Notamacropus eugenii: one gene and its partner. The protein of the gene in region 1 interacts with the protein of each later gene in a biochemical or structural test. Links are inferred from orthologs where the notes say so. Each region holds a gene or a part of one and is shown on either strand. Other genes may lie near its edges. The genes, in order: CD2 and CD58.

Evidence for each region.
Region 2: the proteins of CD2 (region 1) and CD58 form a complex in vitro, tested with the Homo sapiens proteins (3 studies listed by BioGRID and IntAct, with this or other methods). The link is inferred for Notamacropus eugenii from reciprocal best matches to the Homo sapiens genes CD2 and CD58.

Annotation. Positions count from the first base shown.
Region 1 is NC_092873.1:296,542,527-296,558,281, reverse strand, and holds the start of CD2 (T-cell surface antigen CD2), read right to left. Parts: upstream 7,133-15,755; 5' UTR 6,800-7,132; coding exon 6,739-6,799; intron 6,416-6,738; coding exon 6,110-6,415; intron 4,575-6,109; coding exon 4,320-4,574; intron 1-4,319. UniProt on the Homo sapiens protein: CD2 interacts with lymphocyte function-associated antigen CD58 (LFA-3) and CD48/BCM1 to mediate adhesion between T-cells and other cell types. CD2 is implicated in the triggering of T-cells, the cytoplasmic domain is implicated in the signaling function.
Region 2 is NC_092873.1:296,272,776-296,288,345, reverse strand, and holds the start of CD58 (lymphocyte function-associated antigen 3), read left to right. Parts: upstream 1-7,361; 5' UTR 7,362-7,621; intron 7,622-7,846; 5' UTR 7,847-7,910; coding exon 7,911-7,977; intron 7,978-15,570. UniProt on the Homo sapiens protein: Ligand of the T-lymphocyte CD2 glycoprotein.

The DNA of each region.
Region 1 (15,755 bases):
AAACTGAATGGGGATAGGAAGGAACATACTTTTTCTCAGTGGTACATGGCACTTTCACAAAAATTGACCATGTATTAGGGCATAAAAATCTCCCAACCAAAGGCAGAAAAGTAGAAATATTAAATGCACCCTTTTCAGACCATAATGAAATAAAAATTACATCAATGGCCATCGAAACATAGACTAAAAATTAACTGGAAACTAAATAATCTAATAACAAAGAATGAAAGGGTCAAAGAACAAATCATAGAAACAATCAATAATTTCATTAAAGAGAAGGACAATAATGAGACAACATACCAAAACTTATGGGAAGCAGCCAAAACAGTACTTAGGGAGAAATTTATATCTCTAAAAGCTTACAAGAATAAAGCAAAGAGCAGATCAATGAACTGGGCAAGCAAATTTAAAAAGTAGAAAAAGAACAAATTAAAAATCCTCAATTAAACACCAAATTAAAAATCCTGAAAATCAAAGCCAAGATGAATGAAACTGAAAGTAAGAAAACCATTGAACTACTGAATAAAATTAGGAGTTGATTTTTTATGAAAAAACCAATAAAGCATATAAAACCTTGGTTAAGATGAGATTTTCTTTCAAAAAAGAAAGAAAACCAAATTACTGAAACCAAATTTCAAAAATGAAAAACATGAATTCAATACCAATGAAGATGAAATTAATCAATTTCATATTAATCAACTCAATAAAGCAATCATTAAGAGCTATTTTGCCCAACTACATGCCAGTAAGTCTAACAATCTAAGTGAAATGGATAAATATTTACAAAAAATATAAGTTGTCCAAATTAACAGAAAAGGAAATGGAATACTTAAATAACCCTACCTTAAAAAAAAGAAAGTGAGCAAGTCATAAATAAACTCCCTAAGAACAAATCTCCAGTACCAGATGGATTCACAAATGAATTCTAATGAACATTTAAAGAACAACCAATTCCAATATAAACCATTAAGGAAAATAAGCAAAGAAGGAGTCCTACAAAATTCCTTTTATCACACAAATATAGTACTGATACCTGAACTAGGGAGAAGGAAAACAAAGAAAGAAGACTATAGACCAATTTCTCTAACGAATATGGATGCAAACATTTTAAATAACATACTAGCAAGGAGATTACAAAAGTATATGACCAGGTAGGATTTATATCTGGAAAGTAGAGTTGGTTCAATATTCGGGAAACTCTCAACACTGACCATATCAATAACAAAAACAATAAAAATAATCTCATTACATCAATAGATACAGAAAAAAGCCATTGACAAAATACAACACTCATTCTATCAAAAACATCAAAAAGCATGAAAAAATGGAGCTTTCCTTAAAATGACAAGTAGAATCTACCTAAAACTATTAGCAAGCAATATTTATAGTGGAAATAAACTGGAAACCTTCCCAATAAGATCAGGGGTGAAGCAAGGATGCCCATTTTTGCCACTATTATTAAATATTGTACTAGAAATATTAGCTATAGCAATAAGAGAAGAAAAAAGAAATTGGCAAGGAAAAAACTATCATTCTTTGCAGATGGTAAGATGGTATACTTGGAGAATCCTAGAGAATCAATTAAAAAACTAGTTGAAGTAATTAACAACTTTAGCAAAGTTGAAGGATATAATTAAACCCATATAAATCATCAACATTTCTATATATTATCAACAAACTCATCAGGAAGAGATAGAAGGAGAAATTCCACTTAAAATAACTGCAGACAATATAAAATACTCGGGAGTCTACTTGCCAAGAAAAACCCCAGAACTATATGAGCACAATTACAAAACACTTTTTGAACAAATAAAGTCAGATCTAAACAACTGGAGAAATATTAATTGCTCATGGTTAGGCCAAGCCAACATTATAAAAATGACAGTTGTACCTACATTAATTTACTTATTCAGTGCCATACTAAACTACAAAAAATTTTTCATACAGCTAGAAAAAAATAATAACAAAATTCATCTGGAAGAACAAAAGGTCAAGAATATCAAGAAAATCAATGAAAAAAATATGAAGGAATTTGGTCTAGCAGTACCAGATCTCAAACTGAATTAGAAAGGAGTAATCATTAAAAATCTAGGACTGATTAAGAAACAGAGTAGTGAATTAATGCAAGTGATTAGGTATACAATGAACAGTAGTATATGAGCATAGTAATCTGGTGTTTGATAAAGCCAAAGATCCAAACTTTTGAGACAAAAATTCATTATTTTATAAAAATTGCTGGGAAAACTGGAAATCGGTTTAAGAGAAACTAGATATGACCAATAGTTTTCACAGCATACCAAGATAAGGTCAAAATGGGTACATGATTTAGACATACGGGGTGATATCATAAGCAAATTAGGGAAGCATGGAAAATTTTACCTGTCACATATATGGATAAGGGAAGAATTTGTGACCAAATAAGAGATAGAGAGCAACACAGAAGCTAAAATGAATATTTTAGATTACATTGAAAGATTTTGCGCAAACAAAACCCATGCAACCAAGATTAAAAAGAAAGCAGGAAAAATTTACGGCAAGGTTCTCTGATTTCTCAAATACATAGAAAACTAAGTTAACGTTAGAAGAACACAAATCATTCCCCAATTGATAAGTAATCAAAGGATATAAACAAGCAGTTTTCAAAAGAGGAAATCAAAGCTACTTATAGTTCTAAATTGCTGCTGATTAGAGAAATGGTAATTTTAAAAGATCTGATATACCACCTAACACTTATCAGTTTGGTTAATATGACAGAAAAGGAAAATAACAAATGTTAGAGGGGACATGGAAAAATTGAGGCTCTTGGTGGAGTTGTGAACTAATCCAACTAGAGAGCAATTTGGAACTATGCCCAAAGGGCTACAAAAAATGTACATACCCTTTGACTCAGCAATACCACTATTCAGTCTGTATTTCAAAGAGATCAAAGAAAAAGGAAAAGGACCTATACATATAAAAACATTTATAGCAGCTCTTTTTTTGGTGGCAAAGAATTAGATATTGAAGGGATACCCATCAATTGGGAAATGCCTGAATAAGTTGTGATATATCATTATGATGGAATATTATCGTACTATAAGAAATGGTGAGCAGAAGGGTTTCAGAAAACTTGAGAAGACATCTAAGGACTGGTATAAAATGAAATGAGCAGAACCGAGAGAACATCATATACAGTAACAGCAATATTGTACAATGATCAATTGCAAATGACATCTCTGTTCTCAGCAATTCAATTATCCAACAATTCCAAAGGGCTTACAATGAAAAATCCTTTCTACCTCCAGAGAAAGAACTGATGGAGTCTGAATGAAAACAAAGCACACTTTGTTTACTTTATTTTTTCTTGTTTTTTTTTTTGTCTGTGTCTTTCACAATACAGCTAATATGGAAATTTGCTTTGCATGACTTCACATGTATGATCTATATGAAATTGCTTGCGTTCTCAAAAGGTGAGGGGAGAGAGGAAGGGAGAAAATTTGGAATTCAAATTTTTAAAAAAAAACAAATATTAAAATTGTTACATCTGAGAAAAAATAAAATAAGACATAAAAATTAAATATAAAAAGATTACAGGTAATACACTATTGTAAAATCAAACAACTTCAAAACACTTAGGAACTCTGATCAACCCAGTGGAGTCAACCACAAGTCCAAGGAACTCATGATGAAATATTTTGTACAGATAGATAGTTGGTGGATTCACAATGAAGATTAAAGTATATTTTTATTTTTTCTCTTCTTTTCTTTACTTTTTTGGGTGGATATGGTTATTGAAGGAATTTGTTTTACTTCACTATACACATTTATGGTTGTGTTTTTCTTGCTTCCTCAGTTAGTGAGGGAGGAAGATCTAGAGAAGTGAAAATAAAATAAAATTGAATTTTAAAAAAAGACTGTGAACTACAGAATAGCTGTTGATCTACATAAAGCTTCCTCATCAGGAGATACAGGTTTAGACTAAAGGGGAAAAAATACCAAGTTGGCCTAGCAGAGTGGATAGAATACCATAGAAAGAAAGATAAGTCTTTGTGCTGTAGTCTGGCCTCAAAGTCAGGAAGGCCTAGGTTCAAAACCTGCCTCTGACATTTACTCAGCCTCTAAGTCTCTACTTCTTCATCCATAATACGGAGATAATAATATCTCTAGTATCTTTCTCACAGAATTGTTATAAGGCTCAAGTCAGATAAAGTACAGAAATTGTTTTTACTCATTTAAAAGCATACATATATATATATATATATACATTTATAACTATATAAATGTCAGTTATTATGGTTGTTATGAACATGGTTAATTCATACCCGCTGCCAACTACACACCTGTACAGGGAGTTTGGTCCACAATCCACTCCTCACTGGCTTGGTTTTTCAGCACACATTTGAATTCCCTTGGTAGTGGGTCGTTCTTTGGCCAGGTGTACTTGAGCCTCATGCCCTCTTTATTCAAGTTCCCCATCTTTAGAGGCTGTGTCCCATTATCAAACAAGATCAGCTCAGCATTAGTCCCATTATGAACCTCACAAATTATACTTCCCTCTGTGCAGTTCCATGTCATTTCTGGCTTTGAAACAGCCTCTTTGAAAAGAAAAAAAAATAAAACTCCATTTACTTTGAGAACATCCCTGAATGGAAAATTGGTTCTAGTTTGTGTAGCCCACATGGACTCAAAGCAAAGTAGGGATTGGGAATATGCCTCTCAGGCCCTGGTCAGGTGTGAAAATCTTATGGGTGACAGGCCACTGTAGTTCCATTACATTCAACAAACATTTTAATGCCTACTGCATTGCAATAGAATATAAACTCCATGAGAACAGGGATCACTTGTTTTTATCTTTATAGCCTCCTGGCCAAGCACTGTACCTTGTACATAATGTGTGTTTAATAAAGGTTTGCTGAATTTAATTTGAGAACACTGGGCTAGGTGCTGTGGGACATGAAAGATTTAGTTAAACCAGTCTTTCCCTCACAGAACTTACTAGTCTAGTGGGACCATTTAGGAATAAGTATTTCCCAAGGCATAAAAGGTAGAGAAGGTGACTAGAATGTGAATGTATACCTACAGTAAGATTTTTACTTAGCTCGAAATTAAGATTGCTTCCTATGATTACTGGGGAAGACAAAGGTGCTTTGAGAATGGAAATGTAAAAAAAGAAGTTACCTTGTACTATTAAGGAGAAGGGGGAGGGAAAGGGTGGGCAAGAAGTCCTAGAAAGAAAATACAACAGGATGCTTCATGAAATAATGAATTTTCCATGCCTGGTAGTGTGTAAGAAGTGGTTCAATAACCATATGTTAGTGAGGTTACAGAAGGAATCTATATCACAGGTAAGGTATCAAGCTAAGTGAACTATAAGGTCTTTTAATTGAGATTATTTGACCTTGGGAAGATATTGTATCATAACTGAGAGGGTTGGCTTTGGAGTTGAGAAGACTAGTGTTCAGGTCTGACATCTGGGTGAGCTAGGTGGTGCAGTGGATAGAGACCAGATCTGGAGTCATGAGGACCTGAGTTCAAACTAGCCTCAGACACTTACTGGTTGTGTCACCCTTTGGCAAGTCACTTAACCCCAATTGCCTCCCCTTCACCAAAAAAAAAGCTTGCCTCTGATTCATATTTAGTTTGCAACCCTGGACAAGACACTTATAGCAATTTTGATTAAATGTAGATGAGTGCATAATCTTCATTGGCACAGGGTACATCACACTAGCACTTTCCTATGCCGATGAAATCATAAAGTCTGGGCATATTTAGGGAATTCCATTCATTTTTCATTTCATGTCATCTTCCTCCTGCAGCTAACAAGTTGCCTCATGTAGAAGCCTGGGATTAGGTTACTGAGGACATGGGAAAAACAACAGAACGAGGCAAGAATTGGGGTGGGGGGAGATCACATGGGGAATCAGGTCATCAGAAGACACCTTCCTCATGAAGTACATGACATGAAATTTCAGCTGGAGCATCCATCCATAGTCAAAACCTTATCAGCTTCCCATTTGTTTCTCCACTAACCAGTCCTTTATTAAAATCCCTAGCCAGGAAAAGACCATAGAAATGTTGATTGCCTGATGGGCAACCACCAATGAAGGAGACAGAGAAAAGGAATACTCACCTATCACATGCAGAGTCAATTCTTTCTCCAACACATTTCTGCCATTTTTATCATACACTGACACCTTGTAGTTTTGCTCAGAGGTTTTCTGCAGTTTTTTAATTTTCAAGGTTCCATTTGGGAATATCTCATAGTTGTGACTTTCATGGTTAGCCTTGGGAATATTTACATTTCCTTTTGCAATCAGAGTCGATCCTTCATACCACCGTATATCATGTTTATCTTGGTCCTTCGGGAGATCAGGGATGTTCAAAAGGATGGACTGATTTAGTACACCCCAAACATCATTGTTTTCTGCCATGACATCTGTTAAAGAAAGCAAGGACATTGTAGAATCATCAGATATCAGGAAACCATTGAAGAGATTGGGTCCCCCCCAAGGTCCCAGAGCTAAAGAACAAGCGGTTGAGCTGGGTCTACACTGTAGGTCTTACCTGACTTCTAATCCAGTGCTCTTAAAAGGAAAAAGAAGACAAGAGAATGTACAAGGGGATAGTCCCACAAGGAAGAGAAACTGTTTCAAATCCCCTTAGATTTCTACACTCAGAAGTTTGGTTTTTTTAAAAGCAGCTTCTCTAAATATCTCAGGAAGATGGAGGAACCAACAGAGACCCAAACAGTTCACTTACCTTTTGGGGAAAAGAACAAAAGAAGCAGGTAGATGACTAAAACGTGACTTTGGAAGTTCATCTTTGGAAGGTATCTCCAACTTGGGTTACCCAAAATTCATCAAAGTGAGAAGTGGCAATTCTCCAGCAGAACCGCTTGTCTTTCTGTTTCTCCTACATTTGTATTTAAGAGTTCAAACTACTAAAGGTACAGTATTCTAATTTGGCTGGGTGGAGATAGGGGGATGGGAAGGGTGGAGATCAGGGGAAGGATGCCAAGCTTGCTGTAGGCACAAGGACAGAAAAAGAGTTCTCTAAGCATAAACTGTCTTCAAATGTTCAGTGAAGGGAAACAGCAGAATTATGGGGAGGAGTTAGAGTATTCAAGGTCTTCCAAAGTTCATTCTACCCTCCTGCTCCCCTTTACGGCTTCTTCCCCCTTTTTCACACAGACAAGCAGGAAATGGAGCTAAAGTGGGCACTGTGATCTCACAAGATCTGATCTGTTTTAAGACTACTTGAGTGCTAGAAATTACATTACTGGCGCCCACCAGAGACTTTCTTGTTTTTGTGGCTTCTTACCTATAAATAGTGCCCAGTCGTAAACCCTTTGATAATAGAGGAATGATCTCCTCTTGCTTTTGTGAATGGTCTAACCAATATTCATGGAGAGTTCGCAGAGTGCTTTCTACACATGATTTTGTTTGATCCATACAGTAAGATTTTTTTAAACTTGGGCAATATCTTTTTTTTCTTGTTATTTGTCACACCCATAAGCACTATATTAATCCCTCCAATTATTTGTCATTCTTTATTTTTTCACATAAGTACTTTGCAATGTTACCTTATCTTAAAATATGTATTTAGAGAAGCGATTCTTAAACTTTTTTTGGGCCATGGACTTCTTTGGTAGTGTGATAAAGCCTATGGACTCCTCAGCATAAGGTTCAGCAACATTTCTGAGGTGGGGGCAGCAGGTGCTATTATCCCCATTTTCTAGATTAAGAGATTGAATGTCAATGAGTTTAAGTGACTTGCTTCATGGAAGTGCCAGAGATGGGATTTGAACTCAGCACTTCCAAATTACAGCTCCTATATTCTATCCACTACAATATACTGTTCCCACACCATCTTCCTCACTTCCTCATCCTGCCCTCTCACACTACCCCAACCCAGTGTGTCTGGAAGGGTTTGTATTCTAGCCTTTGACCGAAGGTTTAGACCATAAGTTCTTAACCTTTTTTGTGCCATGAATTCCGCTGACAATCTTGGGAAGCCTATGGACTTCTTTTCAGTCATGTTTTTAAATATACAAAATAAAATACACAGAATTACTAAGAATATAGGAAAATACAGTTATTAAAATATTTTAAAAAGCAAATACAATGGTCTCAGGTTAAGAACCCCTACAGGTTAGTTCCTACAGCATTCTTTCTTTCATTTCAATTTGGCAAACATTTAGGCCTGTATCCTGAGTACTGAGCTAAGCAGAGGGGACAGTTGCACAGTATAGATGGAATAATTACACTCAAGTAGGAGAAATATGACACATATGCAAATAACTATAATGCAAAATAATAAATGATAATTCCTAAGAGAGGTGCAAAAGTTATGTGATGTCCAAGGGAAGAAAGGTCAGTGCTGACAGAGAGCATCATGGGGCTTTTGGAGGAATTAGGTCAAGATTCTTTTTGTTGCTGTCAAAAAAAAAAAGAAAGAGAGAAGATCAAAGGATTATGGATTTAATGTTGCAAGGGAGCTTAAGGTCACCTAATACAATACCCTCCTTTCAAAAGGAAAGAAAAGGGAGGTGAGGTCCAGGGGGTGAGGGGACTCATCCAAGGTCACCCACACAGGTACGAAGAAGCAAAGTCATTATTTGAACCCAAATCCTCTGATTCCAAAAGCAGCACTGAACCTGGAATGCCTTGGCATCTGGAGATGCAGAAACTTGGAACTTCAAGCCAAGGTCTGTGTATGACCACTGAACTCCAGCGGATAACAGAGGAAGGGGAAGGTTGGTAAAATGTTACATTTACTAAAGGCAAAAAAAAATATAGGGGAGGGAGGAAATTAATCTACCTGGAAAGCAATCAAACATCAAGAAATCTACCCCACTAAAATAACAAGCTAGACCCCAAATTTTCATTTTGATTTACCCCATTATTTATGGACTGTCTCTTGAGTATGAAACATGGTGCTCCTCACATCCACTGGGATGTAAAGTGGGAATGTGTTTTGATGGCACCATTGGCTATGTGAACAATTGAAAGGACCCAGAATTGACAGAATCGCAGAATTTTAAAGTTGGAGTAGTCCTCAGTGACCATTTAGTCTGACTCAGGCCCCCAAAAGAAACTCTCCTATAAAAATCCCCCAAAGTGCCATCCAGCCCTTGAAAACCATTAATGACAGAGACTCCTGCAGTCACCCTTTCTGGCAGTACATTCTCCTTTTGGATAGTTCTCTCAGGAGGTCTTCCCTGACATCAGACCTAAATGTGCTACTTTATGACTTCCACCCATTTCTCCTGGTCCTGTCCAAAGAACAAATTGGATCTCTCCTCCACTTAACAGACCTGAAAATACTTAGCATTCATGTTCCCCACTGAACCTTCTCTTCTCCAAGTTAAACAGTCCTAGTTCCTTCAACCTATCCTATCTTAGGTAAAGCAAGGATTAAGTCAGAAAGTTCTAAAAGGGCAAGTGGAAGAATGGGAACCTAGATCAAATCCAGCCCAGGTGAGTGAGCTTCAAGGGTGAGTTGCCCTTGAGTCCATGCATTGTCCAAACAAACTGCCCTGTTCTAAAGCACCGTGAATCATCAGTCCATTGGGGAGAGTTCATTCTTTTGAAATTTCAAAATGTGTTTTGTAGTTATAAGGGAACTGATACCCATAGAACATCTCTTTTAACGGGAGAAAAAATGAAAATAGAAGCAAAACTCAGGGTTGATCGCAGATGGTGTAGCAGGAACTGCCCCGGCTGGGTCAACTTGAACATTTTAGAGGACCTGGCTTCAAATCTCCTCTGTGAGACCTTGGGCAAACCACGTAACCTACCTTAGCCTTTGTCATACTCATATTTAAAATGAACAGTTTTGACCACATGGCTTCTGAGGTCTCTTCCATCTCAAAATTTATGATCCAGTGATCCTTTTCCTCTCTTTAGCTCAATTTCCTTCTCTTGTAAAATAGGGGATGGACTTAATCATCAAGGTTCCTTTCCAGTCTAAGATTTAATAATTCTGTGATTTAGTTCACCTGATCTTCTCAACTAAAAAGAAAAAGCTTCTGCCCTACTTAACATTTGAAACATCTTCATCTCTGTGTAAGAAGGCTAGGAGATATCAAAATAAGAATCCTAACATGGGCAGACATACTCTTGCTGCTGCTGACCCATTCAGTGGCCTCCAGATCGTCTTTTCTTTGGTACCTTTGAGAAAGGAAGACATTTAGGGGGAAATTTAGGAAGGCCAACCAGGGTCAATCAATACACATCTTTTTTTTTTAATACACATCTTTATTACACACTTAATATTCATGTTCATAGGTGGGTAGGGATGCATATAATTTATGTATGTACACACATATATTTACATATATACATATGTGTATTCACACACATGCACACAAACATACACACACACTCCTGGGGGACAGCTAGGCAGCACAGTGGATAGAGTACAAGGCCTGAAGTCAGGAAGAACTGAGTTCAAATCCAGACACACCAGCTGTATGATCCTGGGCAAGTCACTTAACCTCGTTTGCTTCAGTTTCCTCATCTGCAAAATTTGCTGAAGAAGGAAATGGCAAACCCCTCTAGGATCTTGGCCAAGAAAACCCCAAATAGGGTCACAAAAGAGTCAGATACAATTGAAATGACTAAACAACAACAACATGATACAAAATGAATACAAGCTATTTTGGGGAAAGTACGCTAGCCATTGGAAGGATGAGGAAAGGTTTCCTATGGAAAGTAATGCTTGAGATGAGTCTTGAAGGAAATCATGGGTTATAAGAACCAGAGGTGATTGGACAGTGTATTTCAGACCCCAGGGACCTGAAATATAGAGAAAAACAACAGAGAAATACAATAAAGAGAAGGCACAGTAACAGGAAACTGAATGTCAATTCTTGGAATGGTGAGTAAGCCACCATGCCTGGACCAAGTCCAAGAAGAGTATGGCAGGAAAAGACCAAGAATGTAAGAAGGGTCAGGTTATAAACATATTGAAATGTCAAATAGAGGAATTTATTTTTGATCTTTGAAGTAACAGGGAACTACTGAAGTTTATAGAACAAAGGAATAACACAATCTGAACTGCTCTTAAAGAGAAGCTTTTGGCAGTTCTTTGGAGGACAGATCCAAATGGAGAAGCTTGAGGCAAACAGATGGAAGGCCATTGAGACAGGTCGGGTGAGAAGGAATGATGGCTAGGGTGATGGTGAGTGAATGGGAGGAGGAATGGATGCGAGAGAAGTTATGAAAAAAGAAACAAGACTTGGCAACAGATTGGCTAGAGAAGTGTTAGTGAGCAACCAAGGCTTGAATCAGAGTAAGTGCAAGGATTCAGCCCCTAAAAGTCTTCATATACTGCTCTTCTCAGTGGAAAGAAGATTGGAATAGGAATCAAGGCCTTAGACACCAGGCTAAGTGAGCACAGCTGTGTGATCCTCAGCAAATCACTTAACCCTGTTTGCTTCAGATTCCTCATCTATAAAATGAACTGGAGAAGGAAATGGCAAACCACTCCAGTATCTCTGCCAAGAAAACCCCAAATGGAGTCACAAAGAGATGGACACGACTGAACAACAAATCCCCCCAAAAGACCTTGTATAATATAGGTAGCCAAATTTTTGTTGAATTGAATTAAATTATGTACCTCTGTAACTCTCTCTACGTTGCTCCTACATTTTTCTCTTTTTCTATCATTGCCAGTCCTATTATGTACCCTTCTTTACTTTTCTCCCCTGTCCCTCTTAATTAACCATAAAATAGAACTGAAGCATATTTTTAAACATTTTAATGGTGTTAATATTTTGGTGTTAATATTTTGCATATTTATTGTGCTTTTAAAAGTACTTGTTCTATTCAACAAGCCCTTATTAAGCACTTACTATGTGCCAGGCGCTGTGTACATAAATAATTGTAATATTTTTAAATTATTTGTTATATGAAATTAATATCTTCTCTCTATGTAACACTTTACTACATACAGAGATGCTATTATTATCCTCATTCTTCAGATGTGGCATCTAAAATTCAAAAAGGAATGTAATTTGACCCTAGAGACTCAGCTAATAATTGTTGGCTGGCTCCAAATGTGACTTCCAACTCAAAGTCCAGTGTTCCTTCTAGTATATATCATACTGCTCTTGAAGGGCAATTTAGATATTTATTTATGTATTTAAATTTTAAATTCACTACACTTAATTTTTAAAAGTGATCAAGTTCCCTGAGACATAAGGTTCAAAGAATAAGAACAAACATTTCTCAAAAGACAAATTGTAAACTATTAACAACTACGTGAAAAAGTGTTCTAAATCCGTAATTATAAGAGAAATGCAAATCATACAACTTTAAGGTTTTACCTTACACCTAGAAAGGCGGCAAAAACAACCAAAGATGGAATTAATCAATGTGGGAGGGGTTGTGAAAAATAGGTATACTTGACACAGAAGTGTCAGATAAGCCCTATGACCACAGAAGCCCTCAATACTTCAAAGCATCCCCAACAAGATTAAAATATAATTGGGAAATTTTTAACAAAATAAATAAAATACAATAAAATATAGATAACATTTTAAAGCTAAGTCAATATGCACACGCACACACACACAATCCTTTTAAATGGATGAGTAGCCCTTAGTTTCTATTTCAATTTCCACTGCACTTATGCATTGTTGGTAGATCTTTGAATAAGTATAACCATTTTGGAACATAATTTGGAATTATGCAAATAAAGTCACTAAAACATTCATGCCCTTTGACACAAAGTTTTCTACTACTAGGCATAAATATCAAGGAGGTCATTGATTAAAAGAAAGTCTCCACATATACCAAAATATTTGTAGCATTAAGTTTCATGGTGGGCAAAAACCGGGACACAAAGTAGATGTCCACTGATTGGAGAATGGTTAAAAAAAAAAGTTGTGGTACATGAATATAATGGAATGTTTATGTAATGAAATACACCTTTAAGTCCCAACTAAAATCCTGCCTTCTACATGAAGCCTTCTTCAAACCTTCTTAATTCCAGGGCTTTCCCTCTGTAATTATTTCCTATTTATCCTGCATATAGTTTGCTTTGTATATATTTGTATGTTGTCTTCCCTAATTAGATTGCAAGCTCCTTGAGGGCAGGGTCTGCCTTTTGGCTCTTTTTGTCTCCCCAAGACTTAGTTCGGTGCCTGACACATAGTAGCTGCTTAATAAATGTTTATTGATTCATTCTGTGGCATAAGAAATGACTAATAGGATGAATATAGAGAGGCATAGAAAGACTTACAAGAACTGTTGCTGAGCATACAAATACAGCGATGTCAATGGAGGGAAAAACAATAAAACACAATTGAAAATAACCATCCCAAAATGACAAAGTACAAACATGGCAACAAAGGACAAATAAGAGAAGACAGCTCCTCCAACTCCTTTGCAGAGGTGGTAGATCTCCAGGTATGGAACATTGCATATATTTTCCAATTTTTTAAATATATTGATCAGATTCCTTATTGTTTTTACTTCTTTACTTTTAAAACTAGTTTGTTATATGGGATAGGTTTCTGGGTGATAGAAATAAAAAGAAAGATATTCATAACATTGACTTTTTTAAAAAGTTGAATGCAATTTCTTCCTCAAAATACAAAACTAAAAATTAAGTTGCTTTTTACTTATGTATGGTATAATGCAAAGAATACTGAAGTTAGAAGGTCTAGGTTCAAACTCTGCCTCTGAAGCTTTCTACCTGTGTGACCTAGGGGCAAGTCACTTCACCTCCCTGGGCCTCCATTTCCTTATCTGCACAGTGAGGGGGTTGCACTTCATGACATCTGAGTCCCCTTCTAATCTCAGATCTCCGACCCTATAAGTGTCCAGTTCACATCAGATCAGATGGAGAACAAGGAGGAATGTACTATTAAGTGCATAATGTCCATTTGGGTTATAGCACTGAGACATCCTAGGCACACTGGGGGAAAAAAGCCTTCCCTTCCCCCATTCCTATACGTTTCAGTTCTATCAGACTCTCCATTACTTCCCCGATGCCAAGGTTAGCTAAAGACAAAATTCTTCAATAAGCCCTCCAGGAAGAGGCATCACCTCGTGGCTCACTGTTTCCCTCTGCTGGGCTCAGTCACCATCATCTTATCAACACAGGTTCTTTCCCCTAGCTGGTTAACACCTCAGGCTGACTCCCAGGAATATAGACTTAAAGTGGGAAAAGGCCTTTGGAGGTGATTAAATCCAGCCTCTCATTTTATGTATAAGGAAACTAAGGCCCAGAGCAGGGAAATAGTATGTCCTACAGAACAGAACAGTATAGCCAGGATTCATGCATACCTGTTCTTTACCCTAATTGTCACCCTTGTTTTGTCCCTATCAACCTCTGAGCTTCCTTTCTTCCCTGATCAATCTTGACCCCGTTGATCACTTACTTTGATCATGACTTCTCCTCCACTCTTGCCTTCTCCTTCTCCTTCTGTCATTTCCACTCCAATTCTTAACCTTGTGGAACCCTTATCATTCATTCATCTCTCCTCTCTAGAGACAGGTAGGTAGCCCAGCAGGGCAGCTAGGTGGTTCAGTGGATAGAGTGCTGGGTCTGGAGTTAGGAAACCCTCATTTCAAATCCTGCCTCAGACATTTACTATCTGTGTGACTTTGTGTAGCAACAAGAACCCCGGTATACACAGGAGGGCCTGCTGTGCAGGTTCTTAGATCTGTTTTTCTAAAAGGAAAGCAACTTTTGAGAGGTCAACAATCACATTCACCAACAGAGAAAATACAAGTAGAGAAATACGGATAGAGCTTCTAAGTGTCTGACCATAAGCAATATATACGTTATAGATCAACAGATACATCCAATTGTCTGACCATTACAGGCATATGTAGTTACCAGGGAGAAGTACCATCATCTGGGTTTTCTAAGGTGGGGTGTTAATACCTACTCAGAGTCTCAGTCTGGCACACAAACCTTCTTCCAAAGAGTAAGCCCCAAAGCAAAACCTCATCTCAGGGTATATATACACTTTTCAGAGCCAGAGGGCATCATGACCCTCCTGACCCAGTGCCTCAGTGAAATTAACAAAAAAAAATCTTCCCTTAATGGGCTTCAGGTGAGGCATATTAATGGGCAGGGAAGATCTTTAACTCTAATATTACAGCTTGGGCAATTCATGTAACCCTGTTTGCCTCAGTTTCCTCATCTGTAAAATGAGCTGGAAAAGGAAATGGCAAACTGCCTCAATATCTCTGCCAAGAAAACCCAAAATGGGTTTCAAAGAGTCAGATATGACTGAAATACTCAAAAACAATTGGTAGCTCAGTGGATAGAGTCCTGGACCTGGAATCAGAAATGAGTTCAAATCTAGCATCAAATACTTACTAGTTGTGTGACCTGGGCCAAGCCATTTAACCTCTGTCTCCCTCAGTTTCCCCAACTGTAAAATGGGGAAAGTAATGTTGTTTTGATGATCACATGAGCTAATTTGTAAAATGCTTTGCACAACGCTTAGTATATAGTAGGTACTTAATTAATGATCGCTTCATTCTTTCCTCAAGTTGTTGGGAGGATCAAATGAGTGCAAGGTGTGTGTGTTGAGGGGGGAGAAAGAGACAGAGAGGGAGAGGGAGACAGAGACAAAGAGGAAGAGGGAGAGAGAGAGAGAGAGAGAGAGAGAGAGAGAGAGAGAGAAGGGTAAAGCTAACCTGGTAACCAGCATTGATTGTACCCCATTCCTGGAATGCTCTTCTTCCTAAATTCAGTTCTTTTAGTACTCCTTACTCCTCCAAGGCCTAGTTCAAGTCCTCCAAAAGACA
Region 2 (15,570 bases), about 270 kb from region 1:
AGAGTTTGGCATTTTTCCTTACTGAATCTCACTTCATTAGATTCCGCCTTTTGAGGACTTTGTAGATCATAATTCTGGTCAAAGTCAATGATCTATGACTTCTAGAATCTTCCTTCTCCTCTTTCTTTTTTCCCCTTAATTGGCACATTTGCCCCTTCCTGGCCCTGAAGTATCTCTCCTTCTACACGCAGTCTTTAAAATGATCACCAAAGGAGGCTTGGCACTCAGTAACCTGGGATGCAGTTCATTCAGGCCTGGTGCTAGAATTCATTGAGGAGTAGCAATTTGTCTTCTATTTCAACTTCCTGCTTACTGTTTTTCCATGAATGGATGGATGAAAGAATGAAAAAGCATTTTTTAAGCACCTATTGCATACCAGACACTGTGCTAAGTGCTGGGAATACAAATATTAGAAAAGAGACAGCCCTTGTCCTCAAGGATTATATACATACATGCATACATACATACATACACATATATTTTTAAATTTATTTTATTTATTTATTTTTAGTTTTCAACATTTCAGCATTCACTTCCATAAGATTTTGAGTTCCAAATTTTCTCCCCATCTCTCCCCTTCCCCCACCCCAAGATGGCATGTAAATTGATATAGGCTCCATGTATATTCATATTAAACCTCTTTTCACATTGGGGCACCTAGGTGATGCAGTGGATAGAGCACCAGTGCAGGAGTCAGGAGGACCTGAGTTCAAATCTCACCTCAGAAACTTGACAGTCACTAGCTGTGTGACCTTGGGCAAGTCACTTAACCCCAATTACCTCATCCTGGGTCATCTCCAGTCATCCTGATGAATATCTGGTCACTGGATTTAGATGGCTCTGGAAGAGAAGTGAGGCTGGTGACCTGCACAGCCCTCCCTCCCTCAAAACAAAGTCAAGTGCAAGTCATGTCATCATTTCTTCTTCAGCAACGAAGGATAAACACACACATTTTCACATTAGTCATGTTGTACAGAAGAGTTAGAATCAATGAGAGAAACCATGAGAAAGAAGAGACAAAAAAAGAGATCAAATAGTCTGCTTCCATCTGCATTCAGATTCCGTAGTTCTCTCTCTGGATGTAGACAGCATTTTCCACCATGACTCTTCTGGAGTTATCTTAGATCCTTGTATTGTCAAGAAGAAAGAAGTCCATCAAAGTTAGGCGTCATACAATGTGACTGTTACCGTGGACAATGTTCTCTTGGTTCTGCTCATTTCTCTCAACATCAGAAACTTCTATTTTAAAAAGAGAAAATAACACATTATAGGGGAGTCCTGACCAGGGATGATGCTTTGTTCTGGGGAAGAAAAAGGGAGTAAGTGAAGGTACAGTGACAGTGAAATGACCTGGTTGAATGGCTGGATGGGAGGCTGATGTCTAAGATTAGCCTGTAGATACAGTGGACAAAAGTGGGCCTTCAGAGGGGAACTCCTAAGATGAAAGGATTAACTTTCCTCAGACCTGGGGTTGGATGACTCCAAGTTGGAGGTCTAGGTTTCAGGTACCCTGTTGATAGTCGTGATCTAGGTGAGGAGGGTCAATTCAGCAGCAACAGGCAGATGATGAGATGGGCAAACTGACTGGCATGGAAAAGAATGGAGCCATGGTAGTTAAAAGATCATGATGGAGGATGACTAGGTAGCACCGTGGATAGAGCACTGGCCCTGGAGTCAGGAGGACCTGAGTTCAAAATCTGGCCTCAGACATTTACTAGGTGTGTGAGCCTGGGCAAGTCACTTAAACCTCTTTGCCAAAAAACAAAAAAAAAAAATCAAAAAACCCATGGTGGAGAAAATAGAAACTGAGTGGTTCTACCTTCCCAGCTTTGCATTTCCATTGTCCATTTTATAACCCTGACAGTCACACTATTTGGGGCAGAGTGCTTGAGCTAGTCTGTACCAGCTGATTGCTCAGTTTTTCATATGCGCATACCTTCAAATCAGGGCCTGGCTTATTTGGTGATTGTCTAGACCAGGGCTAGCCAACCTTCAACCTCAAGGTCACCTGTGGCCTTCTAGGTGGTCAAGTGTGGGCTTTTGACTGAGTTCAAGTTTTACAGAACAAATCCTTTTATTAAGGGGATCTGGAATCCCCTTAATAAGTTTGGAATCAGTCAAAGGGCCACACTTGACCACCTAGAAGGCCACAGGTGATCTTGAGGCCCTAGGTTTCCCTACCTCTGGTCCAAATTTATGAAAGTGAAAGAGAAAATGCTACTATTGCAGGTCATATGTAAATATGTGTCCTGCTCACCTTTTTTTTTTTTTCCTGGAGAGTCGGTTAAATACTCTTCAGGACTCCCTTGGCCTCATCCCTTCTGTGATCTTTCTTCTTTCAATGTCATCAAAGAAGTAGAACACTAGGCCATAGCTAGCCTTCCTTCATTCTGATCTTTTATGTTCTGCCTTTACTGAATGATGACACCCGCTTGGATCATCCTTTGCTACCTATCCCTGAATCCCCAGTTATCTGCTTCCATATTTGTCTTTGTAAAATTGATATGTATCCTTTGTTTTGTTTGCTTGTTTTTCACAAAGGCCAGGCACAGCCAGGCCAGATTCTTCATCTCTCAGACCTCCCTGCCTTAATTCACTCTTCCTTCCAGCCTCGAAGGATAGGTTCTCCTAATCAAGGACCCATCATCTCCCAGCTGTTCCCTCTCTTAATTTTCAGTCCTTCTCTCTCTGCTGGTTCCTTTCCTTCTGCTGACAATATAAGAACTTAATTTGGTTTTTTTTAGACTCCTAAAACCTTCCTTTGACTGTGACCTTATCAAGATACCATAGTCACTGTCTCTTTCTTCTCAATGCCCTCCTCTCATTCCCCTGCATTATGCAATTCTGTTCTCATCACTCTACTTAAACTGCTCACCAATGATTTCTTGACTGACACACTGAATAGCCTTTTCCCAGGGGAGTCCCCCTTGACCTTTCTGTTGACCATCCTTTCACTGATCACCTTTTCTCCCTCTCTGTGACACTTTAATCTAACTCTCTTACCACTCTATTTTTGCTGTCCCATCCTGACCCTGCTGCCCTCTAAATATAGGTACTTCTAAGGCTCTGTCTTCAACCATCTCTCTCTGTCTCTCTCTGTATCTCTCTGTCTCTGTCTCTCTGTCTTTCTCTTTGTCTCTCTGTGTCTGTCTGTCTCTCTCCCTCCCTTTTTAATCTCTCTGCTCTCCCTCACTGGCCTTACCCATTCCATTTATTTCAATAGGCCCCTTGATGTAATTCACTCCTGATCAATGTCTCTGGTACTGGTGCCTCCCTCAGCTCTGCTTCTGACTGCTCAGTATCATTTACATTTATCCATCGTTCCTTCAGAATTCATGTCAGGTACCACTTTCTCTATGATTGGAGGAAGGATTACCCCCTTTTAATATTCCTTCCCCTCAAAAAAGTGACATCTCTCTCCCTCAGATATTCCAAAATTTTTTATTCATTTTGAACTTAAATTCAAAGGCAAAAAAAAAAAACATTTCCATGTACACAGTACAACATAAGGAGAGGATTCAATACAAAAGCATGAATTTCCATTTCACAGCTGGCTTCTTTTAAACTACGTAATTAAAAACCACCCATCATTTTCAAAGCTGCTCTACTTCTCTGTGCAAACGTCTACGTTTCCTTTTGTTCTTTACTGTGCACTTTTACATTTTTTTCCCTCCGTCCCTATCCCACCCTAGAGAAGGTTACCATTAGACACAAATATGACCATCTGTGTGTAAAACCATGCCATACGTCCTTGGGTTTAACAGTTCTTTCTCTAGATGTGGATAGCCTCTTCCTTCACAGGTCCTTCAGAGTTGATATGAATATTTATCATACTCAAAATGACTTAGTCATTTCAGCTATTTTTAAAAATATGTAGAGTATTGCCTTTCTCATTCATCTGCTTATTCCCCAAGCTGTTATTAAGTATCTACTATGTGCCAAGTACTTGAGATATAAAGACAGAAACAACCAGAAACCTGTAACCTCCTCTGCCTGAAGGAGCTTGTGCAGGCGAGCATGCACATAGACATGTATAAGGGAATACAAAGTATGTAGAAAGTAAGTAAGATAATTTGGAGGGGAGGAGGTGATCAGAAAGACCCTGTGTAGAAGACAACATTTGATCTTGGCCAAAACTGAGATTGGGTATCCTAAGAGTCTGAGGAGGAAAGGGAGAGATTTTCCAAGCTTGGTGAAGCAAGCCAGCCAGCCTGTTAATAGGAATGGAATTTAGGTCAGTTTTTCTAGAAACCAAAGGGTGGGGAGGAGAGGTGTGATATTGGTCTAGAAATATGGGTTGGGCTTTCATGTGACAGAGGAGCATCCTAAAGGCAAAAAATGAGGCATGGAAACTTCTGAAGGAGAGCAATGAATCAGACCTTTAGGTGTTTTAGGAAAATCAATTTGGCAGCTGTGTGGAGGATAAATTGGAAATGAAAAAGACCAGAAGCAAGCAGATCAGTTAGGAGGTTATTGCAATATTCAGTCCAGAGATGGAGAAGGGTTAATCTAAGGGAGGTGGCCCTGTGAGTGGAGAAAACACAAGAGAGTGAGATATGGAGGAGGAATAAGCAAAACTTGACAACTGATTATCTGTGGGGGATGAGGGAGAATGAAGAGTTAAGGATGATGGACCATTGTGAACCTGGAGCACGGTTAGTAGGGTGGGACATGGAAAATGATCCCCCAGAGGAGACTAGGAAGGCAGGTAGGAGAACAGATAGATGATGTGTCATGGAAATTCAGGGAAGGAAAGGGGAGTCACCTGTCAAAGGTCAAAGGTCGCCTACTTGAGCAATTAAGATATTCTAATAAAGGTGTTTCAGTCAAGTGATCAACTCAGAAGCTAGGTTAGAATAGGATGAGAAACTGAATGAGACGAAAGGAAGGGGAGGTTGCTTGTTTTTTCTAGTAGTTTGGCTATAAAAAGGGAGGAGACATAAGATGACAATTTGAATGGATAAAGACTCAAGTGAAGGTTTTTTAGTGATAAAGTCAAGCATTTAAATGTAAGCTAAATTCTAGGGATACAAAGAAAGGCAAAACAAAAACAAATAACATCCTCCCCCATCCCAATAACCAGTCCCTGTTCTCGAGGAGCTGAGGAAACCACGGTATGACCAACTATGTGCAGGACTGGGATATGTCTAGCCAGCAGAAGAACCCCATATTAGGAAAAGATTTTGGATTAAAGAGGAAGGGGCAATGACCAAAGGGAAAAGCTGTTGGAGAAAGAGACAGGATGATATGGGATCATGGGCACAGGTACAGGGGTTGGACTTGGTATTGTTGGTGAGAAGGATCTCCCTTTTTTCAGGGACTCACAAAAGTGAGGAGAGAATGGGAGATGATGTCGAGGTGTTCTGGGACATATGAGCCAAGGTCATCTGCTGAGAGGGAGTTGGAGAAGGAGGAGGAGGAAGCTTGAGGACAGAAGGTTTGGAAAAGCCTCTGTCGAATTGTTGTTTGTCTTTCATTCTCTGAGAGCACCAATGACATCAGGAGGGTAATGTCTGGACTTGCAAGTGAATTGGATTTAAGTGAGGCAGATCTGTGCAAAGTCATTAACCTCTCTCCTTCAGAATCATCAGGGTCCAATGGCAAGGCATAGGTCAGGATGACTGGTCATGACCCCCTGGGATAAAGAGTAAATTAGAAGAGTAAAAGGATTACAGTATAGTTAAGAGGACCTAACTGAGATGAGCTAACAAATATGTCTTGGACCTAGTCAGAATGGTTGTCAAAGCTCTTCCAGGAACTTCAGCAGTGTAAGAGTAGGAGAAAAGGAAGACTAGGTAACTCTGGGTTCAGGTTTAAAGATCTGAGAGTTGACAGTGAGTTAATTGGTTAATTATATGATTAAGATTGAGAAGGGAGGAAAATGAAGCCACAACAAGAGTGACAGCCAGAGGGAGGAAAAACTAGAGTTCAGAATGGGTAGCACTTAGAGACATGGATGGATGGGTAATAGTCAGGCCTGAATTACAGAGTATCCACCAGATTGTCCACCAGATTCTGGGTAGAGCTGACGTCACAGTCTTCACAAATCATGGGATTTGATTGAGAAGGCTGGTGAACTGGGAGACCAGGTTGTTTAAGGGGGCATCAACCTGTATATTGAAGTTCCCAAGAATGAGAAGTTGTTGGAGTGGAGAGAAAGGCTGTGATTCAGCTAGGTAACTCCCTGAGAAAGGGGAAAGAATGACTTTGGGATGATCGATTTGAAGTAGGAAGGGCTTTAGAGGTTGAGCCCCGCCTCCTCATTTTACAAAAAAGGGAAGTGGAGTTCAGAGAAAAGTTCAAGAATTCACCCAAAGTCACCTAGCTAGTGGACAGGTCTTCCTGCCTTCAACACGCCATACCCTTTACTCCTCTGCCCTTCAAAACCTTTGAACCAAGTACTGCCATGGGGGATTATTCATTTCCTCCCAGAACCTCCATTTTAAGGAAGGGCCCACAGACCAGTCATGTTAACTCCTTTCTTCCTCTCTGGGCCCCATCCCTTATTCTCTGAACATCTTTGTTCATCATACCCTTGACCAGGCACTGTCTTCTGACATCCCTTACATTGCATTTGACTTTCCAGTTCTTTGCTTGACACTTAGGAAATGCTTCCTGATTTGACTGAGTTTGAGCCTCCAAGCAGAGGTTGTTGAATGAGGCAGAAGGAGCTAGAAATGTTTATAAACATCTGATGCAGGGCTGTTATTGAGGTGTGCCTGGTGTCAAGAGAAGGTACATACAGACCTGGATAGGACAGCCAAGGATCGGCTGGATTGGGGGGTGGGAGGGAGGAACAGAGGGAAAGCCAGATGATTAATTTCAAAAGACAAGAGAGAGAAGACAAGAATGGAGGGGAGGCTGTTCAGTGGAATGTTGTCCCAGTGGGCACAATGGGAGGGGAAGGAAAAGGGGGATGGGGACTTGTCAAGGGCACGTCCCATGTTGATAACCATGGGTCAGCCGTAGGGATCCTGCGTGGCCAGAATTAGGTGTAGTGAGAGTTTGCTAGTCATAGGATAGGCATTCAGGACATTTTGATGGGGGACCCTCAAGGGCTCTGAGATGGCAGAGGATGCGTTAAAGGTAAGTAAAGAACTAGTTAGAGAAGTGAGATGAGATTCTGAATCCCACGCTTGAGAATTCGAAAAGCTGCAGGGGCTAAGCAGCGTGGAATTTCAAGGAACAGACTGTAGTAAAGTAGTACAGGCAGTGCTTGCTTTTCCTTACGATTGATAGCAATCCCTAAAGTAAAAGCGGCTTCTCTCTAGGTTCCTCCCGCCCCCCTTCTACACCTCCCTCCCCAATTGTAATAAAGAAACACTGGCTGAATCATATCAGCTGTTCTCAGGACAAGTCTTACCTCATCAAGCCACGCCCACTTTTCAGTTCGGCCTTCCTCCCGGCTCTCCGGGCTTCGGAGGCAGATCCTGCGGGTTCCCAGAACCTGTTAGTCTCTGATCTGACAAGTACCGCACCCAAACTGAGAAACAGTTTTTGCCAAAGGCGCGTTCTGAAAACGAGTTGCGTGGCTACCGAAACAACGAGAGACAGACCTATTTTTAATCATACACCCAAACGGGGGCAAATCGAAAGGGACCAATCGAACTTTCTCCGCTCCGTAAGTTTTACTAAGGGGAGTTGCGGGGAGTGGGGAGAAGGGAGAGGGGGCCGAGGAGGGAAGGGAAATAAATAAAAGGGGTGGGGGAACCCCGCACTTAAAGAACAAGATCTTGGAGCTATGTGGGTTGGGGTGAAAGAGGAAGGAAGGGGAAAGGAGTGTATTGGGACTGGCCCTTTTAAAGTGGAGAAAGTGGGGAGTTAATTTCTTTTGGCTCCTTTTCAGACCCTCCAGCTACCTCTACCAGAGAGTGCATCTCACCTTTTTCTCGTTCGAGATCTGTGGCTCTATGGCGATAGAATTTTGTGTGAGGAACATCCTATTGGAATTTGCAGTGCTACTGGCCATCTTTTTCGGTAAGTCTGGCCTTGCTCTCCGGCCACGGCCCAGAGATAGATAGCGTTAGATCACGAAATTGGGAATTCCTATCCACCAGCGCCCTGCACTGCACCAAACTCGGGCTGGGGAGTGGGATGGTTCTTGGGAGTCGGAAGGCATCCCTCCCAGATAAACAGCCGGGTTAACAGTAGGGGAAGTTGTTCGTAAGTAGGGACGCCGCAAGCATGCTGCTGGACAAGGATCTCCTGCTGAAAGATCCAGAGCCGAATTTGGATCAATCCTAAGAAAAATACCAAATTTGTGGTTTGCTCTCAGAGTCCTCTCGATGCCTCCCTGTCTGTTCCCCACCCTTTCTGCCTCTCTGGCCTCTCAGTTTCCGACAAAAACAAAGTCAACAAAATCTCCTCCCCCTTTTTCTTTCCTCCCTGTCTCCACAATAAAGTAAGGAAACTGTGGAGAGAAGTTTCTGGGCACTTGACCTTGATCAAAGCGCAGAAGATGCACTTTGGGGGACAGGGCCAGCATGTCCACAGCCACCCAGATGATAAAACCTTGCCAAAAACTGAGTTCTTATGCTCTCTCCCACCCCCCACCCTCGCCCCCAACTTTCACCACTCTTTTCTTTTCAAAACTGGGTAGCGCTTTCAGATAGCTTTAATGAATCTTTCATTTCTGACCCAGGTCAGGAGCAGCCTACACCCCATTGTCAAATGAAATTGCCACTTTGTAGGATAAGACAGGGAAAACCAAGAGACAAGGTGGCTTGTAAACCTCCAAGATTTCTTGGGTGAGCTTAACTTTCTTCCTCCTCCTATCTATTTTTTCCTTTGATTTCCTAGTTGGGGAACTCACAGTCTGCCTCATATTGTTTGATGACTGCTTGTTTCAATGCAGTAATCACTTACCTTTCCATTTTTCCACCTTCCAATTCATCCTTACCAGAGATGTCAGCCGGATCTTCCTAAAATATGTTATTCTCCAGCTAGAAAATCTTCCATGGCTCTCCATAGCCAACAGAAAAAAAATAGCATATATGTTAGGCACTGTGCCAATCACTTTACATTATTATCTCCTTTGATTCTCCCAATAATCCTGGAAAGTAGGTGCTATTATTATTCCCGTTTAACAGATGAGGAAACTGAGTCAAATAGTGACTTGCTGGGTCACACAACTAGTAGGTGTCTGAGGCTGGATCTGAACTCAGGATTTTGAAACTCATGCTTCTTATAGTGAAGAGCCCATCTTAGACATTATCTTTGCCATAGCAACTAGCACTTTGCTTTTTATGGAACAAATCTTAGGAGCCTAGGATTTTCAGGGTAAAGGGGGGTTTTAGATTTGCTGAAGGGTCCTACAGCTAGTAAATGTCTGAGGCCATATTTGAACTCGGATCTTCTTTGTCTCCAGGCTTTGGTGCTCTATCCACTGCACCACCTACTCCCCTGGGGTGGAGAAACAGGAAAAAAACAGCTCAAAGTAGATTTCTAAAACATAGAAAGTTCTTTATGTTAATTTAACATTTACCTCCCAGTAGCCCAAGAGTCCTAAGTGTATTCTTTGGAATAGAGCACAAAAGTGTCCTCTTTCCATGAAAACCTTTGGGGTATTTGAAGACAGATCCCTTACCCGTTGTCTTTTCCAAGTGAAACATGCCAAAGGAAACGCATCTTTTCATCATTTCTTGTGCGATAGGGTTTGGTCTTCATTCTAGTTGTCATTTCTGACATGGTCTCATTGTCTTTTTTATATGTAACTCCAAAATAGAACTTAGTTTTCCAGATGTGGGCTGACTAACCCTCAGTACAATGGGATAATTATTTATTGGAATCAGAACATTACACATCTATTCATCTGGTTTTTAAAAAAATATTGGAATCTTTTTTTAAAGCAACTTCACCATGTTCCCACTGAGTTTATGATCTTTCTTTTTTTGAGGCAATCAGGTTAAAGTAACTTGTGGAAGGTCACATGGCTAATAAGTATGTGAGGTCTGATTTGAACTGGGGTCCTCCTGACTCCGTGGCAGTTGCTCTGTCCACTGTACCACCTAGCTGCCCCCCAGTTTGTGACCTTTTAAAATTCTCAGTACACACACACACACACACACATGCACACACGCACACATACATAGAGACAGAGTGCACAGAGTGAATTGAAGAGGATGGGATCATATACTAAAAAAAAAAAAATGAAATCAAGCAGTGAGAGAGAAATATTGGGAGGAGAAAGGGAGAAGTTATATGGGGCAAATTATCTCTCATAAAAGAGGCAAGCAAAAGACTTATTAGTGGTGGGATAAAGAGGGGAGGCAAGAGAAAAACATGAGATCTACTCTCATCACATTCCACTAAAGGAAAGAATATAATGCACACTCATTCTGATAGGAAAACCTATCTCATAATACAGGAGAGTGGGGGACAGGGGCACAAGCAGGAAGGGGGGGAGGATAGAGGGGAGGGTATGGGGAGGAGAATGCAATACGAGGTCGACACTCACGGGGAGGGAAAGGACCATAAGAAAATAGAAGTAATGGGGGACAGGACAGGATGGAGGAAAATACAGTTAGTCTTATACAACACAATTAGTATGGAAATCATTTGCAAAACTAAACAGATATGGCCTATATTGAACTGCCTGTCTTCCAAGGGGAAGGGGTAGAGAGGGAGGGAGCTAAAGAAGTTGGAACTCAAAGTGTTAGGACCAAATGTAATGTCCTTACCACTGGGTAACAAGAAACACAGGTTAAGGGGTCAAGAAAGCTATCTGGCCCTACAAGACAAAAGAGAAGACGGAGACAAGGGCAGGGAGGGAGGATAGAGGAGAGAGCAGATAGGTCACAGGGGCAATTAGAAAACTTGGGTCTGGGGGGGGGAGGGGGAAAAAAGGGGAGAAAATTTGTAACCCAAAATTAAAAGTTTAATAAAAAAAAAAAAAAGGAAAAAAAAATAAAATTCTCAGATCCTTTTCAGATGAACTTTTCTTAAACCATATGTTTCTCATCTTGTAGAGTTTTTAAAAATTCATTAAACTGCAGGCATTTTTATTTCTCTATATTAAATTTCATCCTGTCCACCTGTTGAAATAAGGCAGCACAAATAATGGATAAAATGCTCAACTTGAAATCAGGAACATCTAGGTTTGGGTTCTGCCCCTGGATACTTACTAACTAGCTGTGTAACCTTGTGCAAATCACTAAGTCTCTCTGTTTCTCAGTTTCCTCATCTGTAAAATGGGGAAGTTGAACTTGATAACCTTTCTAAGGTTCCTTCCAGCTTTAAATCTAATAAATCCTGACTGTTATCCAGTCTGCCATCCCTACCTCCCACCTCTGGGTCCTTGGCAAAAGCCTTATCAAGATATCAACCAACAAGCATTTATTAATCACCTACTATGGCCGTATCTTCATCTAAGCCATTGATAGTAAGTATTGAACAGGAATAGGCATGTGGAGTGTTGAAGTATTCATCAAGATATTCCCTTCATGGTCCATTTTCTTTCCATTAAGCCACATTCTTCAGGCTGGTATTTTTCCATTAGCTATGAATCCTACTAACTACTATTACTGGACCTACTTTTTTTGTGTCTCCACCCATATCATGAGTGTCAGGTGCCTTACCGAGAGCAACCTGGAATGTGATGTTTTCCCGAAAAAGGTACTCGGAAAGTTAGAGATTTTGATGAATATTTTAAGTACATTTGTAAGGCACCTAGGTTCTCTTGTAAGGTTTAAGGCTTCGTTTGTTTGTTTTTGAAAAACTGATTTAAGGATGTCTGTCTTATTCCTCTGGGATGGTTTTTTTTTTTGTAAATTTTCTCGTGATTTTTCTGCTTTTTTGAACAGTAAAATAAAGGTAAAAACGACTTACTCTGGAGACTTAAATTGTTTCGCAAGACATCTGTTGTTGCTCTGTCTTTTTTAGTCATATGTGACTCTTTGTGACCCCATTTGGGCTTTTTTGGCAAAGATTCTGGAATGGTTTGTCATTTCCTTCTCCGGCTTATTTGACAGATGAGGAAACTGAGGCAAACAAGCATAAATGACTTGCCTAAGGCCACATAGCTAGGAAATGTCTGAGACCAGATGTGAACTCAGGAAGATGAATCTTCCTGACTCCAGGTCTGACGTTGTATCCACTAAGCCATCCAGCTGCTCCTATATTCTTTACTAGAATAATGGTTTTAAATGCATAAAATTAAACATACAACATTACAAAGGAAACTATTTATATTTTTTTAAGTTATCAAAATATTTTTAAAAACCAAGTTCATGGATCTCTTCTAAATCTAAATGGATGTTGTCCATCAAAATGATCTCCAGAGAACAAAAACGTTACTGGAAACTTCTCTTTTGTAATCATCCTCAGACCCAGTTTTGACCAGTTTTTCAGGAAGAAATGTTAATAAATTCAGAGAAATCTGATCATGGCCCTCCATCCATACTTTTGCCCCCCTACTTCTTCTAGGTCTCGTTTGAGAATTTTGAGAATTGAGAAACCTCCCTGGAGGGATTGTAGGCTGAAACTCAACCAGGGGAAGGTTGAGAGAGATAGCTTTGACATGTCGCAGCCAGAGTAGGGCTGGCCTGATGATTGTGTGCTGCCTTTTGGATTTGCAAGTTATAGGAGGAATTCATGATAGGTGCTATCACCCTCTGCCTATATACTCTGCTGAGTCATTTCCCTCATCAGTTTAATTCATCATTCATTTATTTATTTATCTGTGTACTATTACCTAGTCCTCACAGACTTGTACTAGTACTTGACACATAGGGGAGTTGGGAATAAGAATTTATTAAGCACTTACTATGAGCCAGGAACTATTGCTAAGCTCTTTACAAATATTTCACTTGATTCTCACAACAACTGGAGCATCTAGGTGCTCTTATTATCCCATTTTACAGTTGAGGAAACTGAGGCAGTCAGCGGTTAAGTGACTTGCCCAGGGTTGCACAGGGAACATCTGAAGTCTAGATTTGAGTCTTCCTGACTCCTGGCCTAGCCTCTATCTCCTTTGACACCTACCTCCCTTATCTAGTAAACCCTCAGGGATAGTTAATAAGGGCTTAAGAAATGTTTGCTGACTAACCTAACTAGAGGGCATTTAATGGAGAATCATCAAAACAAAATGCACCTTGATTGTAAATGAAAAAATCACTCTCTGGGACTACAGAAAAACCTGAATGCTGTGTGATTGTAATTACCTGGCTGGATCCCAGAGGAAAAAAGGGGAAAATGGGCCTTTTTCTCAGCTTTGCAGAGGTAAGGGGCTCTGGGAGTAGAATATTGCATGTGTCTCAGACTCAGTTGATCAGTTGGTAAGTTTTGTTGAACTGTTCTTCCTCCTCCATCTCCCCCTCCCCCCATAAAATTCTATGTAATAGGAAATGGTTCTGTGAATATGAAAGTGGTTTTGTTGTTCAGTTATTTCTGTCATGCCCAACTCTTCATAGCTCCATTTAGGGTTTTCTTGGCAAATACTGGAGTGGTTTGCCAATTCCTTCTCCAGCCCATTTTACAGAGGAGGAAACTGAGATGGAAAGGGTTAAGTGACTTGCCCAGGATCGCACAGCTAAGTGTCACAAGCCAAATTTGAACTCAAGCTTTCCTTACTCCAGGTCTGGTGCTCTATCCACTGTTCCACTTAGTTTGCCAGGAAGGTGGAAGAGGGATATATTTGATATATTTGAAAATGTAGATGGTATAAAAACAAAAGCAAAAGATGACAAAAATGAACCAACCCAAATCTTTCTCTGAAGATGTGTATAGTCTACCTGGGAGTGGAGGGATAGCATTTAATACAATAAATTTTTATTGAGGGGTAGTGTGGTACAGTGAGTCAGGGGACCTGGGTTCAAATCTGGCCTCTGTTTATTATATAGGTGATGTGGGTAAACCTTTAAAGCTTTCCAGACCTCTTTCCTCATCTGTAAAATAGAAGGATTGGACTTGAGGATTTCTAAGAGCCACTCCCATTTTAGATTTATTGTTTTCTTAAGTTCCTACTACGTTCAAGACACCGGGGATATAATTAAAAAGGGAGGGGGAAAATATTCATGGAATTTTTTTTTTTTTTTACAAATATTTCATTTGATCCTCACAACCTTTGAGGTAGGTACCATTATTATCTCCATTTTACATTTGAGGAAATTGAGGCAAACAGAGATTAAATGACTTGCCCAGCATCTGAATCTAGATTTGAACTCAATCTTCCTATCCATTGTACCACTTGGGTTGGCTTCAGTTGATTAAAAAATGGCAGATCTCTATCAGGACATAGATATTAACTTTGGCACCTTCCCTCTGAAGTTATCTCCAATTCGTTCTGTCTATATCTTGTTCCCAGAGTCAAGAATTCCTGACCTAGACTCAGATATTTACTAGCTATGTGACCCTGGGCAAGTCACTATGCCATGCAAAAGTAGTTGTTTGCTAATTTTCCCCCCATTAGACTGAGAGCTGGGACTCTTTTGTATCCTGCTTTGTACTCTCATTACTCAACACGATTGCCTGACATGTAGTAGATTGAGATGAATGCTTGTTGACTTGACTCAGAGTCTGAATGGCAAGTCCTTTGATAATTGATCTTGACTTGATTTGATAGCTACCGGACTGCCTCTGCTAGAAATCCAGTCTACATCTACAATGAGCATTTACAGATGGTGCCAAGTCAGTTCCGGTCTTGTGAATTGAAAACCAAAGAAAGAAGGAGAATTCACAGCAGTGAATATAGTTTCTAACAGTAGAGCTAAATAATGAAATATGATATACTGACTTTTGACTAGCTACCTAAATGCCTTTCTAATTTGTTATTAGAAGGTCCCTGGGGTGTGGTTGTGCTTCTTACTCAGGGCCCTCTTCGGATGACTCAGAGGAGGCAGTGGGTGAGGGACAGGAGGGGAAACAAGCCACAGCTTGGCAGGGAGGTGGGGGGCAGTACATTCTTGAGTGCCTGGGGAGACACCCAGAGGTAGTGAACTCTTAAAAAATGAGAAGTATAGGGTCCCACAGTGGCACTGGACCATTGGTTCTGGGACTGAAGTGGAGGAGGGCAGAAGACCAGCAGAAGCAAAACAGGAAGATAAAAACAAAGTGATGAGCACAGTGCCCTGAAGAAACTTTCTTTCCTTATCACTTTAAGTAACTTTTTTATTTTTTGATAAATAGTATTTTTTTCTTCAATTGCTTATAAATACAGTTTTCAGCATTCATTTTTTAAATAAGCTTTTGAGTTCCAAAGTTTTTCTTCCTCCTATTCCCCCTCTATCTCTTCCATCCCCTCTTTGCAAGATGGCAAGCATTCTAATATGTTATACATGTGCAGTCATGTGAACACATTTCCATATTAGTCATACTGTGAAAGAAGAAACAGAACAAAAGGGAAAAGTCACACACACACACACACACACACACACACAAATAAAACAAAAGAAAAGTGAAAATAGTGTGCTTCAATCTGCATTCAGATTCCATAGTTTTTTCTCTGGATGTGGATAGTATTTTCTGTCAAGAGTCTTTTGGAATGGTCTTGTATTATCGTATTGCTGAGAAGAGCTAAGTCTACCAAAGTTGATCATCGCACAGTATTACTGTTACTATGTATAATGTTCTTCT